2 linked regions of the Saccharomyces cerevisiae S288C genome follow. Changing the gene in region 1 together with any one later gene gives a genetic interaction. Each region holds a gene or a part of one and is shown in the gene's direction. Other genes may lie near its edges.

Evidence for each region. Genes that interact genetically often act in the same process or in processes that back each other up.
Region 2: of CPA2 (region 1) and HMS1, changing one suppresses a phenotype caused by changing the other (phenotypic suppression), as found in Saccharomyces cerevisiae (2 studies listed by BioGRID).

Annotation. Positions count from the first base shown.
Region 1 is NC_001142.9:626,336-636,538, reverse strand, and holds CPA2 (carbamoyl-phosphate synthase (glutamine-hydrolyzing) CPA2), read left to right. Parts: upstream 1-3,597; coding exon 3,598-6,954; downstream 6,955-10,203. Other genes in the region: PXP2 (Pxp2p), read left to right, coding at 1-684; phosphatidylinositol-3-phosphatase YMR1, read right to left, coding at 858-2,924; ABM1 (Abm1p), read right to left, coding at 7,456-7,827; YJR107C-A (uncharacterized protein), read left to right, coding at 7,846-8,082; LIH1 (putative lipase), read right to left, coding at 8,213-9,199; ECM27 (Ecm27p), read right to left, coding at 9,524-10,203. UniProt on the Saccharomyces cerevisiae protein: Large subunit of the arginine-specific carbamoyl phosphate synthase (CPSase).
Region 2 is NC_001147.6:389,271-392,580, reverse strand, and holds HMS1 (Hms1p), read left to right. Parts: upstream 1-1,505; coding exon 1,506-2,810; downstream 2,811-3,310. Other genes in the region: Rad2 family nuclease EXO1, read left to right, coding at 1-165; YOR032W-A (uncharacterized protein), read right to left, coding at 205-405. UniProt on the Saccharomyces cerevisiae protein: Involved in exit from mitosis and pseudohyphal differentiation.

The DNA of each region.
Region 1 (10,203 bases):
CACATGTATAGATTCACATTAGCTTCCCAAACCATTGACTTACTGCGCTCAGAATTACCAATGAGAAAAACTTTGATCAATGAGAATTACCAACAACCTACTTTTTTCCAAAAGCAATTGACAGCAAAATTTAGAGAAGTTATTCTTAAAACAGGACCTCTGGCCGGCCTTCCAAGAGCGATCAATGGCCTGACTATGCTAAAGGAAACTACTCCGGACATTTTAGTACCGCACTTAGACCCAATAGACCCGTGGGAGGCTGCCATGGGAAACAGTTCTCCCCTTTCGGAAACCTCTATGAGAAGGAAGCATGACAAGACAATCCAGGAAAGAGATCATACCATACAGAACGGCTTACGGCATTGGAATTCAATATACAACAAAGTCTCAACCCGCGTGGTAAACAATCTAAACTCTTCGTACCCAGACTTATGGTATTATACACTGGTCCATGTATATGGCCCTTTGTTTGCCTTTGATGAGATACTATCTGCGCAAGAGACAAGTTTAGTGATAATTGCTTCTTTGGTTCCACAAGATGTTAATCCTCAATTGCGTGGGCATTTGAAAGGTGCCTTGAATATTGGTTGTGATAAGGAAACTGTGGAGGCAGTGAGAGGATTGGCTATACTAATATCTCAGTGGTGTGGTGTTAGTTGGAAATCTGGTGTTGTAAAATTGTAAGCCCCTTTGCCGATCGGCCACTCGTTATGCTCATAATATATGTACCCTTATTCATTAAAATTAATATATATATATGTATACTAACAACGGAGAAATGCTTGAACTTTTCTATACTTCTATCATTGTATGCAAAATACTAACTCACTTATTTGTCTTCTTTGCCGTTAACCAGATCACTTTCTATTAAACATATCAAATCCAAAAATTGACAAATTTAAACCCTTACCGCCATCGGAATTACTATGCTCTTTACTCTTTTTATCCACCGATATGGGTACTGAGTCTCGTTTATGGCGTAATTCATCATTCATTTCTGAATCTTTTCTTCCATATAACTGCCACCACCATTGGACTTTCTTCAGATCCGGCGAAATCCACTCCACTTTTTCTTCCTCTTCAAGGTTTTGATCGTGCTCATTCATGCCGCTTCTTTTTCTCTGTATGAAATTTGGATTTATGAACTGCTTTCTTCTAGATCTGAAGTAGTCCCAGACACTTTTAGTCTTGTTTGGCAAATTCTGTTGAAATTTCTCCTTCTCGCTATTGGAAAGGAATGTTCCATATTGGCATGAATACAAGTGGTAAACTAGTCTTCTTAAAAATCTTTCGTTGAATTCAAATAGATCTGGGTTTTGCGTCAAAAGTTGGTATACACAGTCTAAAAATTGTTGGAAAACTGGGGAGACGAACTTTAGACTTTTCTTGTTCAATTTAAAGTTTTCGTTAAATTTTTTGGAAATTCTACTCAAATTAATTAAATTCGTCTCATCTTCACCTCCTTCATCATCTTCAGCATAATCGTCTTGAGTGTTAACACCTATGTCAAGATCATCGCCATTGGTATCCACATCGTTGAAGTTGGAATGCATAGTGTTATCATGAAATCTAATATCAGAGTTTAAATGACCACTTCTTTCCAAAAACCGGTGACCAAAAGAGCACCAATCTTTTTCCACTAGGATCATAAAACCTTCAAAAGTTCTATAGAAAGGATCCAAACAAATTTCTAATAGTGATACAACTTGACTGGTTCTGTCCCAACCGTCAGAACAATGAACCAAAACGTTGGAATGATTGAAAATGATGGACTTTAAAAGCATATCAACGGATTTTAAAATAAGAGTGTTCAACTTCAACCAATTGGAAAATTTTTGACTCCTAATTAAATTCTGTTCCAGTGGTAAATTCAAATCGCCACCTTGGCAGATAACTTCCGTCATGTATGCAGCTGTGTTGGAAACAATATGAATGTTATCTATACCAAGAAATAACCGTGTAACTGTGGGCAGTTTTAGACTTTTATCGACACCCATATTGTTATCAGCTAAAAAAAAATTATAATTATCCATATTTTCTGTCCCGCCACCCAACGCCATCTGTGCTAATGCATTTGTTCTGGGTCTGGCATCTACTATTACATGTTTCGTTCTTCTAATATCTTTATTACAAAATGAGTTGAAGCTTTCCCAAACTAATTTTTCATCTTGAATGGACCTCTGATTGATCAACCCCGGTAATGGTTGAGATGACCTAAGAATGTTGCAATCTGTTGCCTTGTGATGATAAGTTAAAACAGGAATTCTTTTCTGTGATCTAAACTTCGAAGCATGCTTCAATAATATATCTGACGTGGATCTTGGTACAAAAAGTTTTGAGGGATACGTTGGACAAAATTCATAGTGTTCGTTTACCGTGGATAGCCTCCAAGGACATGTTTCATCTTTACTGTCGAGGCCCTGCCTTCGAAATTCCTTAATTGGGTCATATATATCCCAGCTATCGGGTGAAGGTAGTTTCCTTTCCAGATTGTTGGATATGTAAATAAATGCATATAGTTGCGTGATATTGGACAGGACCGTCAAATTTAAGATGGAATCATACACCTTTCTTGCCTGTAGATGTAAATCACCACCGAAATCCAATGAGAATACCGCATAATCTTTCCCAATTACCTTGATATTTACAAAAGACCATAGATCCTTACCCTGGTAAAGCTTGTAATTCTGTGAATCCGTTCCCTCCAATTGGATTTGATTAGTGGAAGTCAACTTGGACAGTAATGTACTACCCGGGTTTTTATGCACTCCATAGATCAAAGGATATGGAAACCAAAATTCCGTCGACAATTGTGGTGACTCAAAGATCAAATGGTGAGTAGTCAAATGTAAAGTACCTTGTGTGGCCGTACCTCTTCTATGCAGCACTACATTAGATACTTTGGCAATCTTGATGTACTCCATCTTTGCGGAATGGTATACTATTTCTTTTCCCTCTTTTTAGCACTATTACACCCCGCCCACAAAATAAAAATAATAACGACGACCTAATCTCACCAAGTGACCCTTGTAAAACCTCCTTTTCTTTATAATGTTTCTTTTCTTACTAATATTTGGTACATTTAGGGTAGTGATAAAAGAATGGCAACATTGTTATTATTGTGAAAAATGAGGAAAATAGAAAATCAGAAACCCTAAAAAGTGATTTTACCCTATCAGAAATATTCAAATGTCCTAATTAAAAATAGTAAATCCCCTAAACATTCAGATTGTAAACTAGGGTTGAGAAAATGACTCATCCACCACTGTCTTCTTTCCTGCGGCATTCTATAGATTATTGTGAATGACTCTTATTGATGAGATGGCAATAACTTTTGAATATCAGAGATAGGAACCTCCATGTCGTAACGATTGTGTCACCTTGAGTAAGCATCGAGAAAATCCAATCTTTTTTTTTCCGTCATAAGCATTTCTGCCATGCTATTTGTATATATATAATTACTAATACGTCTTCTATAGTATGCCTTATCTCTTTTTTGAAGCGCTATTTAAGTTTAAGCATCGAAAAACTAACATCTATAGTTAAAATTAGTTCTATAAAGGAAGAGCAATACAGTACATAGACAGGAAGAAAAGAATGACATCGATTTATACATCAACAGAGCCTACGAATTCTGCTTTTACTACCGAGGACTACAAACCTCAATTAGTTGAAGGAGTAAATTCTGTACTTGTCATTGGATCAGGAGGGCTCTCTATTGGTCAAGCTGGTGAATTCGATTACAGTGGTTCTCAAGCTATCAAAGCTCTGAAGGAAGATAACAAGTTTACTATATTGGTTAACCCAAATATCGCTACTAACCAGACTTCTCATTCCCTGGCGGACAAGATTTATTACTTGCCCGTTACACCAGAATACATCACATATATCATTGAACTTGAAAGGCCGGATGCTATACTTTTAACCTTCGGTGGTCAAACAGGTCTAAATTGTGGGGTGGCTCTGGATGAATCTGGTGTTTTGGCTAAATACAACGTCAAAGTTTTAGGTACTCCTATCAAAACTTTGATCACTTCTGAAGATAGGGATCTTTTCGCATCTGCGTTAAAGGATATCAACATTCCCATCGCAGAATCATTTGCTTGTGAAACCGTGGATGAAGCTTTGGAGGCTGCTGAAAGGGTCAAATACCCAGTTATTGTCAGATCTGCATACGCTTTGGGTGGGTTAGGCTCAGGTTTCGCTAACAATGCAAGTGAAATGAAGGAACTTGCCGCACAGTCCTTGTCGTTGGCCCCACAAATTCTTGTTGAAAAATCTTTGAAAGGTTGGAAAGAAGTTGAATATGAAGTGGTCAGAGATAGGGTTGGTAACTGTATTACAGTATGTAATATGGAAAATTTCGACCCACTTGGTGTTCATACTGGTGATTCTATGGTTTTTGCTCCTTCGCAGACCCTATCAGATGAAGAGTTTCATATGTTAAGATCCGCCGCAATTAAAATCATTAGACACCTTGGTGTTATTGGTGAATGTAATGTCCAATACGCTTTGCAACCTGATGGGCTAGACTATAGAGTTATTGAAGTGAACGCACGTTTATCTCGTTCCTCTGCATTGGCGTCTAAGGCCACTGGTTATCCCTTAGCATACACTGCCGCCAAAATTGGGCTAGGCTATACTTTGCCAGAATTGCCAAACCCAATCACAAAAACTACAGTGGCTAACTTTGAGCCATCTTTGGATTATATTGTGGCAAAAATACCTAAGTGGGATCTTTCTAAGTTCCAATACGTGGACAGATCCATTGGTTCCTCTATGAAATCAGTTGGAGAAGTTATGGCTATTGGTAGAAACTATGAAGAAGCCTTTCAAAAAGCATTAAGACAGGTGGATCCATCATTATTGGGATTCCAAGGTTCTACTGAATTCGGCGATCAACTTGATGAAGCCTTGAGAACTCCAACTGATAGAAGAGTCCTTGCCATTGGTCAGGCCTTAATCCATGAAAACTATACTGTTGAGAGAGTTAATGAATTGAGTAAAATTGATAAATGGTTTCTTTACAAGTGCATGAACATTGTTAATATCTATAAAGAGCTTGAATCAGTTAAATCTTTAAGTGACTTGAGTAAAGATCTCTTGCAGAGAGCCAAGAAATTAGGGTTTTCAGATAAGCAGATTGCGGTTACTATAAATAAACACGCCTCCACAAACATTAACGAACTGGAAATCAGAAGTTTAAGAAAAACGTTAGGTATAATCCCTTTTGTCAAGAGAATCGATACTTTGGCCGCAGAATTTCCAGCACAAACCAATTATTTGTATACCACTTACAATGCTACAAAGAACGATGTGGAGTTCAACGAAAATGGTATGCTGGTTTTAGGCTCTGGTGTCTATCGTATTGGTTCATCTGTAGAATTTGATTGGTGTGCCGTGAACACCGCGAAGACATTAAGAGATCAAGGCAAGAAAACTATCATGATAAATTATAACCCAGAAACAGTTTCCACAGATTTCGATGAAGTTGATAGATTATACTTTGAAGAATTATCGTATGAAAGAGTGATGGACATTTATGAGTTGGAGCAATCTGAGGGTTGCATTATTTCTGTCGGTGGTCAATTACCTCAAAACATTGCCTTGAAACTTTACGATAACGGCTGTAATATAATGGGTACCAATCCAAACGATATTGATAGAGCTGAGAACAGACACAAATTCTCATCTATTTTGGATTCTATTGATGTTGACCAACCTGAATGGAGTGAATTAACATCAGTAGAAGAAGCAAAATTATTTGCTTCTAAAGTTAACTACCCTGTGTTGATTCGTCCCTCATATGTTCTTTCCGGTGCGGCAATGAGTGTTGTTAATAATGAGGAGGAACTGAAGGCTAAATTAACTTTGGCATCTGACGTTTCTCCAGACCACCCAGTCGTCATGTCTAAATTTATTGAAGGTGCTCAAGAAATTGATGTGGACGCCGTTGCTTATAATGGTAATGTCTTGGTACATGCCATTTCCGAGCATGTTGAAAATGCGGGTGTGCACTCCGGTGATGCTTCTTTAGTCTTACCGCCACAACATCTTTCTGACGATGTGAAGATTGCCCTAAAAGACATTGCTGATAAGGTCGCAAAAGCTTGGAAGATCACTGGCCCCTTCAATATGCAAATCATCAAGGATGGGGAGCATACATTGAAAGTGATTGAATGTAACATTAGAGCTTCTAGATCATTTCCATTCGTTTCAAAAGTTTTAGGCGTTAATTTTATTGAAATTGCTGTCAAGGCATTTTTGGGCGGTGACATTGTACCAAAACCTGTTGATTTGATGCTCAACAAAAAGTACGACTATGTTGCTACTAAAGTTCCTCAATTTTCCTTTACAAGGTTGGCTGGTGCAGATCCTTTCTTAGGGGTTGAAATGGCATCAACTGGTGAAGTTGCTTCATTTGGTAGAGATTTAATTGAAAGCTATTGGACTGCTATTCAAAGTACCATGAACTTCCATGTACCACTACCTCCAAGTGGTATATTATTTGGAGGTGATACATCTCGAGAATACTTGGGCCAAGTGGCTTCCATAGTGGCCACTATTGGTTACAGAATATACACAACTAATGAGACCACTAAAACGTATCTACAGGAACACATCAAAGAAAAGAACGCAAAGGTTTCTTTGATTAAATTTCCAAAGAATGATAAGAGAAAATTGCGTGAACTATTTCAAGAATATGACATAAAAGCTGTTTTCAATTTAGCCTCCAAGAGAGCTGAGAGCACTGACGATGTTGACTATATTATGAGAAGGAATGCTATTGATTTTGCTATCCCATTGTTCAATGAACCTCAAACGGCTTTGTTATTTGCAAAGTGTTTGAAGGCAAAAATTGCAGAAAAGATCAAAATTTTGGAATCTCATGACGTTATAGTTCCACCAGAAGTCCGTTCCTGGGATGAATTTATTGGTTTCAAAGCATATTGATTGTGCAAAAGAAAAACCTGCCTCTAATTGTATTACTGTATATTATATAATGGATTTTTTTAGAGATATTTTTAATTTCAAAGAGACTTCTTAGTGTATATTCTACCCCAGTATTATTATCTTGAACAAAAGTAGATCGCAAAACTTATCACTAAAATTCAAATGTATTTTCGAAGTGAGTAACGCATGGGCCGTGGAAAATAATTCATCAATCAATACCTCAGGCAAGTGTATTTACTATGCCTTTATATCTTCCGTATAATAATAGAGCGTTGATTAATTGAGATGTGCAACAATGTGACCAGTACACGTAGATTATAGCATTTTTCACCGATCAAGCTTAAGCTTAATGAATATGCAGTAGGGGGCCTTCATAAAAAAAGCTGTCCTTCTGGTTGTTGGCCATTACTTGGACTTCTTTCTTTCTGAAATGTTCTGCTAGGTGGAGCAACATGGGTAGATGATGTATAGAGAACGTTTACGCTACGGAGAGAATCCGCACTAAAATTCGTAGTGACAGATGCTATATACGCGCTTGCTAAGGGATAACCCATCAAGCCGGTCTGCTACGTTAGTGGCATGAGGCATATCATCTTCGTCTTCATCAATAGAGTTTGAGTTAATCCAAGCGGTTGCATTCTCGAGTGTTGTTAATAATCTAGTGTCAACCAATTTCTCTGTAGTAGCTTCTATGACAGAGATATTAAGTGTGTAATCACTTGTGCCCCAACATGTTGAGTAGTGGATATACGTATTGGATTCGGTAGAATTTAGCCATGCAGCGCTCAAAAAATTCCACGTGAGGAATATTTCCCAAGGGATGAAAATTTTAAAGCTTCCATCTACGGTCAAGATAGAGTACCTCCAAGACATACGTGGAAACTAGTAGACATGTGTGATGATAGCTATGATGCTGTAGAAGAATACTATTTCAACAAAAGCGTAGCCGGGATTAGTGGCCAGGAGAACTGGAATAAGCAGTTAGCTACCCAAGTGTATTCAAGAAGTTTACAACCAGAAATATTACCAACCCTAAAACCTCTTTCATGTAACAAAGAGAGGGCCAATGCAGGAAAAAGAGTTTCAGAAGAAGAGCAGATAAATGGAAAACGTAAGAGAAAAGATTAGAAGTTTTGAAAGAGTTATTTGTAAAAAGAACAATTATTAGTTAAGAATAGTGGTCGCATTTAGTTTAGAGTAACTCTAGAGCGGTATTATATATGCTAGTTATAGACAAAAACGTAAAAGTGGGTGAATGTTAAAGTCCAGAACATCCCACTACGTCAATGAAGTAGGCTCGATGTTCATAGACATGTAACCAGTCTTCAACCAAACCGCTCATACCCTCTCGAAATCCATCCTTTAAAGTTAACCTGTTATTTTTACCACGGTATTCAATATCTTCCGCATTCTGAGGTAGACCAACTTTGTTAATAAACATCTCTAAACCAGCCGGATGATAGAATGGTGGAACCATAGGAATATAATCACCTGTATGCACAACCCTAAAATAGCCCTTACGAAATTGAATTTCATCTTTAAGAATTGACTCCTTTTCTATAGCATCTGTTTCAAATAACTCGTCTACCCATTGTTTCATTTCACTGTTAAATATCTTTGGTGTTGCGAATGTCAGCACTAACGGATCAAAGCCTCTTATCTTTAATTCAATCCCAGCCAAACTTGCTAATGCTGCCCCCAAGGAGTGCCCAGTGACAACGATCCTATATTCCGGAAAGCTTTCCAGAATCGACTCCATTTTTTTAAAGACGTCCATCCCGAGAGTTTCTGTGAACCTTAGAAATCCTCTATGCATTTTACAACCTTCACATTCTCTGATTTTTCCTTCCTCTATAAGCTTACGATATTCCTTAACGCAAAGGGGAGAATAGTTAACAGGATATATTTCAAAATCACTAAACCAATCTTGTCTTGTTGTGGATCCTCTAAATGCTAAAATAACAACCTTTTTTCCGTGGTCAACAGCCAGATAACCCGAGCCTAATTCACCTTTTTTTGCATTAAGAACTAATTCAACCACTGTTTGACCCGCTGTTGGGTTAATTATCTCATCATTGCAGAAGTTAATATGTGGTGGACAACCTCCGTCGTTGAAGGTTTTATTAACAAGAAGTAAGTTGTCAGATATGCAGCTTGATATAGAGCTTGCCTTAATAAAATATACTAGACGCTCATAGATATATGGAGTGATGGGCAGGTTGGACGAACAATGAACAACAGGCATGAGTACTACAAAAAGATATAGTATGAAAAGTCTGGCAGGCATCATTGTTATGGGTTTCTCAATCGAAGTTTTGGATAGTTCCTGGCTACAACTTTTTTTTTGGAGCTCAATCAAAATAATTCATCCAAGGAAACGAAGGTTGAGACAGAAAGAATATATGGCCCATTTTTGTTTGAATAAAAGGGCGATTTGAATGACGGAGTCTAAGTAATCTTGAAATTAAATAGTACTTCTTTTCTTGGTGTTCTGTGTTCTGCGCGGATCTGTTACGGCGCCAGATAAATGTCACAAAAACAAATTTTTCGGGAGGCACTCTTGCAAGCTTTAGCTAAACAGTTCTAGAAGTATATTAATCAACGTGGCTAGTGCCCATAGTCCGCACATAGAGATTCCGACTAACTTCATCTCCTTTGTGAGGCGCCGTTTAATATTGTTAGGCCCTCCGAAGAATAACAGCAAGAGAATAATCTGTAGGATAATGAAGACGCAAGAAACTATGAATTTGTAATTTAATGTATTATCCAATTGACTTGTTTCTTGTAATTTAACCTTTCTTAGGAACCACCATTCGTTATCATTAAAAGCGCCAATAAAAAGCATTGATACTAGCCCACTAAAGCCTATTCCACCCATAGAATTCAGCATTACGCCTCCTAAGCAAGATGCGCATGATATCATAAAAAATTTTGTGGCTAAACGAACTCTGTCTTGGTAGTGAGTTTGGGTTTTGTAGAGCCTGCACATAGATATGTTGGAGATCAAGTCTCCTACTGAGTTGCCCCATGCGAAAATGGTAAGGCCCAAAATAGCTTTCGATAATCCTAATATTTTTTGGTAAATTTCCATCATCTCAATAAGAGAATTGGCTAAAAGTGATATCCAAATTATGATATTTATTATGCCGATAGCTAGAAAAATTATTTGGATGCTTGTGTTAAGCCTTTCGAGGAGTTTTCTTTTTTGTAGCTTTTCCTGTAAAATGTTAGAGCTGTCTAATGACAGAG
Region 2 (3,310 bases), on another chromosome or scaffold:
GTGATTGACATGAAAAGCGTAGATGAACGAAAATCATTCAATTCATCACCAATTTTGCATGAGGAAAGTAAGAAAAGGGACATCGAAACTACTAAGTCAAGCCAAGCTCGGCCGGCAGTCAGATCTATCTCCTTGCTTTCCCAATTTGTTTATAAAGGTAAATAAAAGTTAAGTACTGCACGTTTCATATCGGAGGTATATTTTTCAAATGAAAATCTCGTCGAAATGCCTCAAGACAAGAATTAAAAAATCAATGCCCAGTAAAGTAGGACAGGGTACGGTTGGAGTAAGAAGCCTTCTACTTTGGGAAAAAGCCATTGTACTAGACCAAGAAAAGATTAAAAGTAGATGTGTCAAATTAAGCCACAAGTATGTTTGCCCCGCTATGAACAATGCACGCCGCATGTGAGGACAACTTTATATGTTTTGCGAGCGCGCTGGGCATGTGCAATTCACATTTTTTTTTTCCTTTTTTTTAACCCACTCTATTTATCTAATCAAGCCGCTAGCGGTCTACATTCGCTATCAACTGAACGAATAGTGATGCAATCTGAACCTTAAACTTTTCGCTCGCTTTTACTTTCCAGAAAAAATTTTCTTCATTGGGATTCCTCTGCTGACAAACGGGCTCACAGAACTGAGGAAACGAGAATTTTGTTAATCAAAGCAACATTACGGGAAGGAACGGAACCGTCTCGTTGCTGTGGGCGCGAGTTCGACGCAAGAAAAAAATGCTGCAGCATCGTCTTTTGTGAACGCCAAGAAGGAGTCCGGCGAAGGTATTGGGCGTCACAACCTTTTATTCTCCGCAGTGTCTCTTGCCTACAAAGCCTGCAGAAGCTTTTATGCCGGGGTGTACGTATGTTAATCAGTTACCCTTTCCTACTGTGTGCCGCACCCCTCATTTGCTCTCGATACGAGAAGTTCCGCGCCGATTCTGGCCTTTTTGTTTTCTGGCTAGCCTACTTTCAGGGGACGTGCCTTCTTATGCCGCTGTAAATTACAGCAGAGATTTAGATCTGAGTGAAAACGTGGCGAGGAAAAAGGGTACACCGTTAAAAGCGTAGACACAATCCCACTTTGTTGTGCCTAGTCTTCTCTGCTGTATTTTAATTTTCTGTTTGAACTTTTTTCCGTTCTTTTCCATCATTGTTTAATTTTTACTTTGAGTGGGCTTCTCAAAAGAAAAAAATAGCTGGTATTGTATTTTTACCGTAGGCGTTTTCTTTGTATTTTTCCCAAGAGCAGCAGCACCTTTTATATACCTTGGTTACACATTGTAAGCCTCAAAAATCGTCCTATGTAAGTGTCTTATCGCATCATACTTAAGGTCAAACCTGTAAAGCGCGCTTCTAGTTTTATTTCTACTACTCGCCTTGGCTCTCGAGATCGCTTAGGTAGTTTAATAGTTAGTCACACCCACCCACCCATTCGCTTAGAATATAGAATATAGAGCAGTTGCAGTACACGACTCATTTTAGCAACGATAAGAGTATAAATTGGAAATGCCAAATTTTCAAAAACCTTTTTCTGGTTCTTCGGATGGCAATTCTGTAATGAACGACCTAGGTAATAAAGTCGCCATCAAGGTTTTTGATTGTAGAAGTGCTCAAGATGGCAGCGAAGAGCAGAATGTAAATGTAACCACGAACCAAATGTATTTAATGTTTCAAAGTAACAATTACAACGTGCCGCCACCAAATTACAATACCGAGGATTTGGGTTCTCAAGGACCTCCGACGCATGCTTATTACGCTCCATTTCAGCATCCCATCCATCTTCAACCTCCCGTGCCTCCTGTATATAAGAACAACACATATTCTGCCACAGACCAGTATAGTGACTCCTCGTTTCCTAATACTTCAGGCCACACTCCAGTAATTGATAGTAATTACTATAATGATGCTCTGGCTTCTATACCTACAACAACGACGGGTAGTACTACAATGACTACAGACAATGGCAATACTATTGACAGCGAAGAATACATTGATAACATGGAAGTCTTTAGTAGCGAGGAAAATGAAAACATTGATAATGTAAAGCAAACCGATCTTAAATCTGAAAAGGACTCGAGTCTTCTTTCAGCAGCTTCAATCGTGAAAAAGGAACAATTGTCTGGCTTTGAAAATTTTTTGCCTTTATCGAAGACAGAGTCTCCCTTAGTTACTGCAGACGAGATTAAATCATCTTTGAATTTGGAGAATATTGACAATGCTGACAGTATGAGCTTCAAGTTAAAAACTTCACCTATACGGAAACATTTTCATGTTAAACCCAAAAGAATAACAAGGGTGAGGACAGGAAGGGTATCACACAATATAATTGAAAAGAAATACCGTTCCAATATTAATGATAAAATTGAACAATTAAGGAGAACTGTCCCAACGCTACGAGTAGCGTATAAAAAATGTAACGATCTTCCCATTACATCTAGAGACCTAGCAGACTTAGATGGCCTAGAGCCAGCAACAAAATTGAATAAGGCGTCCATTTTAACGAAATCTATTGAATATATTTGTCATTTAGAAAGAAAGTGCCTACAGCTAAGCTTGGCTAATCAACATTTATCAAATGACACACGGGATTCTTTCGTCCATCTTACCGAGCCATCTCAACCGTTGAGTGACAACAGTAGTAGTGAACAAGTACAAAAGCAAACCAGAAGCTGCCAACGCCAACGGCAGCGGCAGCCACGACAACAACAACCATTGCATAACATTCAATATAATATTCCACATCAAAACGGCCTCATGAGCGGCACCAACAATTCACATGATATGGATTTTAACAACGCAGGAGACTTTTAATACTTGAACAACAAAATGTTTCAACACGACAGATAAAACGAAGAAGAAATACTATATACAAATCTGTACTTGTGTGTATGCGTAACATTGTAATTTTAATTTTGCATTGAGAAATCTATTTTATTCATCTCTTTTAGTGTTAGTAAACACTCGCAGATGCCTTGAGCTCCGCACCGTAATTTAGTTTAATTTATTTCTCTTAGTGCCGTCTAAATAATAACGATCTAAAAAAAAGATTCCGGGAAAAAGAAACTATACCTTATATTTAGTTCATGCAGTTAAATAAATGTTGTTAATTAAGGGTAAAATATGATGATGTATTTATGATAAGTAAAGAGTAGGGGTCACCTAACATTTTTCACAATTGCATTTACTCTTTTCACAAGTGCACGTGGTTTCGCATTTGCATTTTTCACCACAACTCTTACATTGAGGGCTTCCGGTGCTGTGATCACATTTGCACTTTTCACCGCCAGAACAGCTTGGAAGGCAGGTGCTCC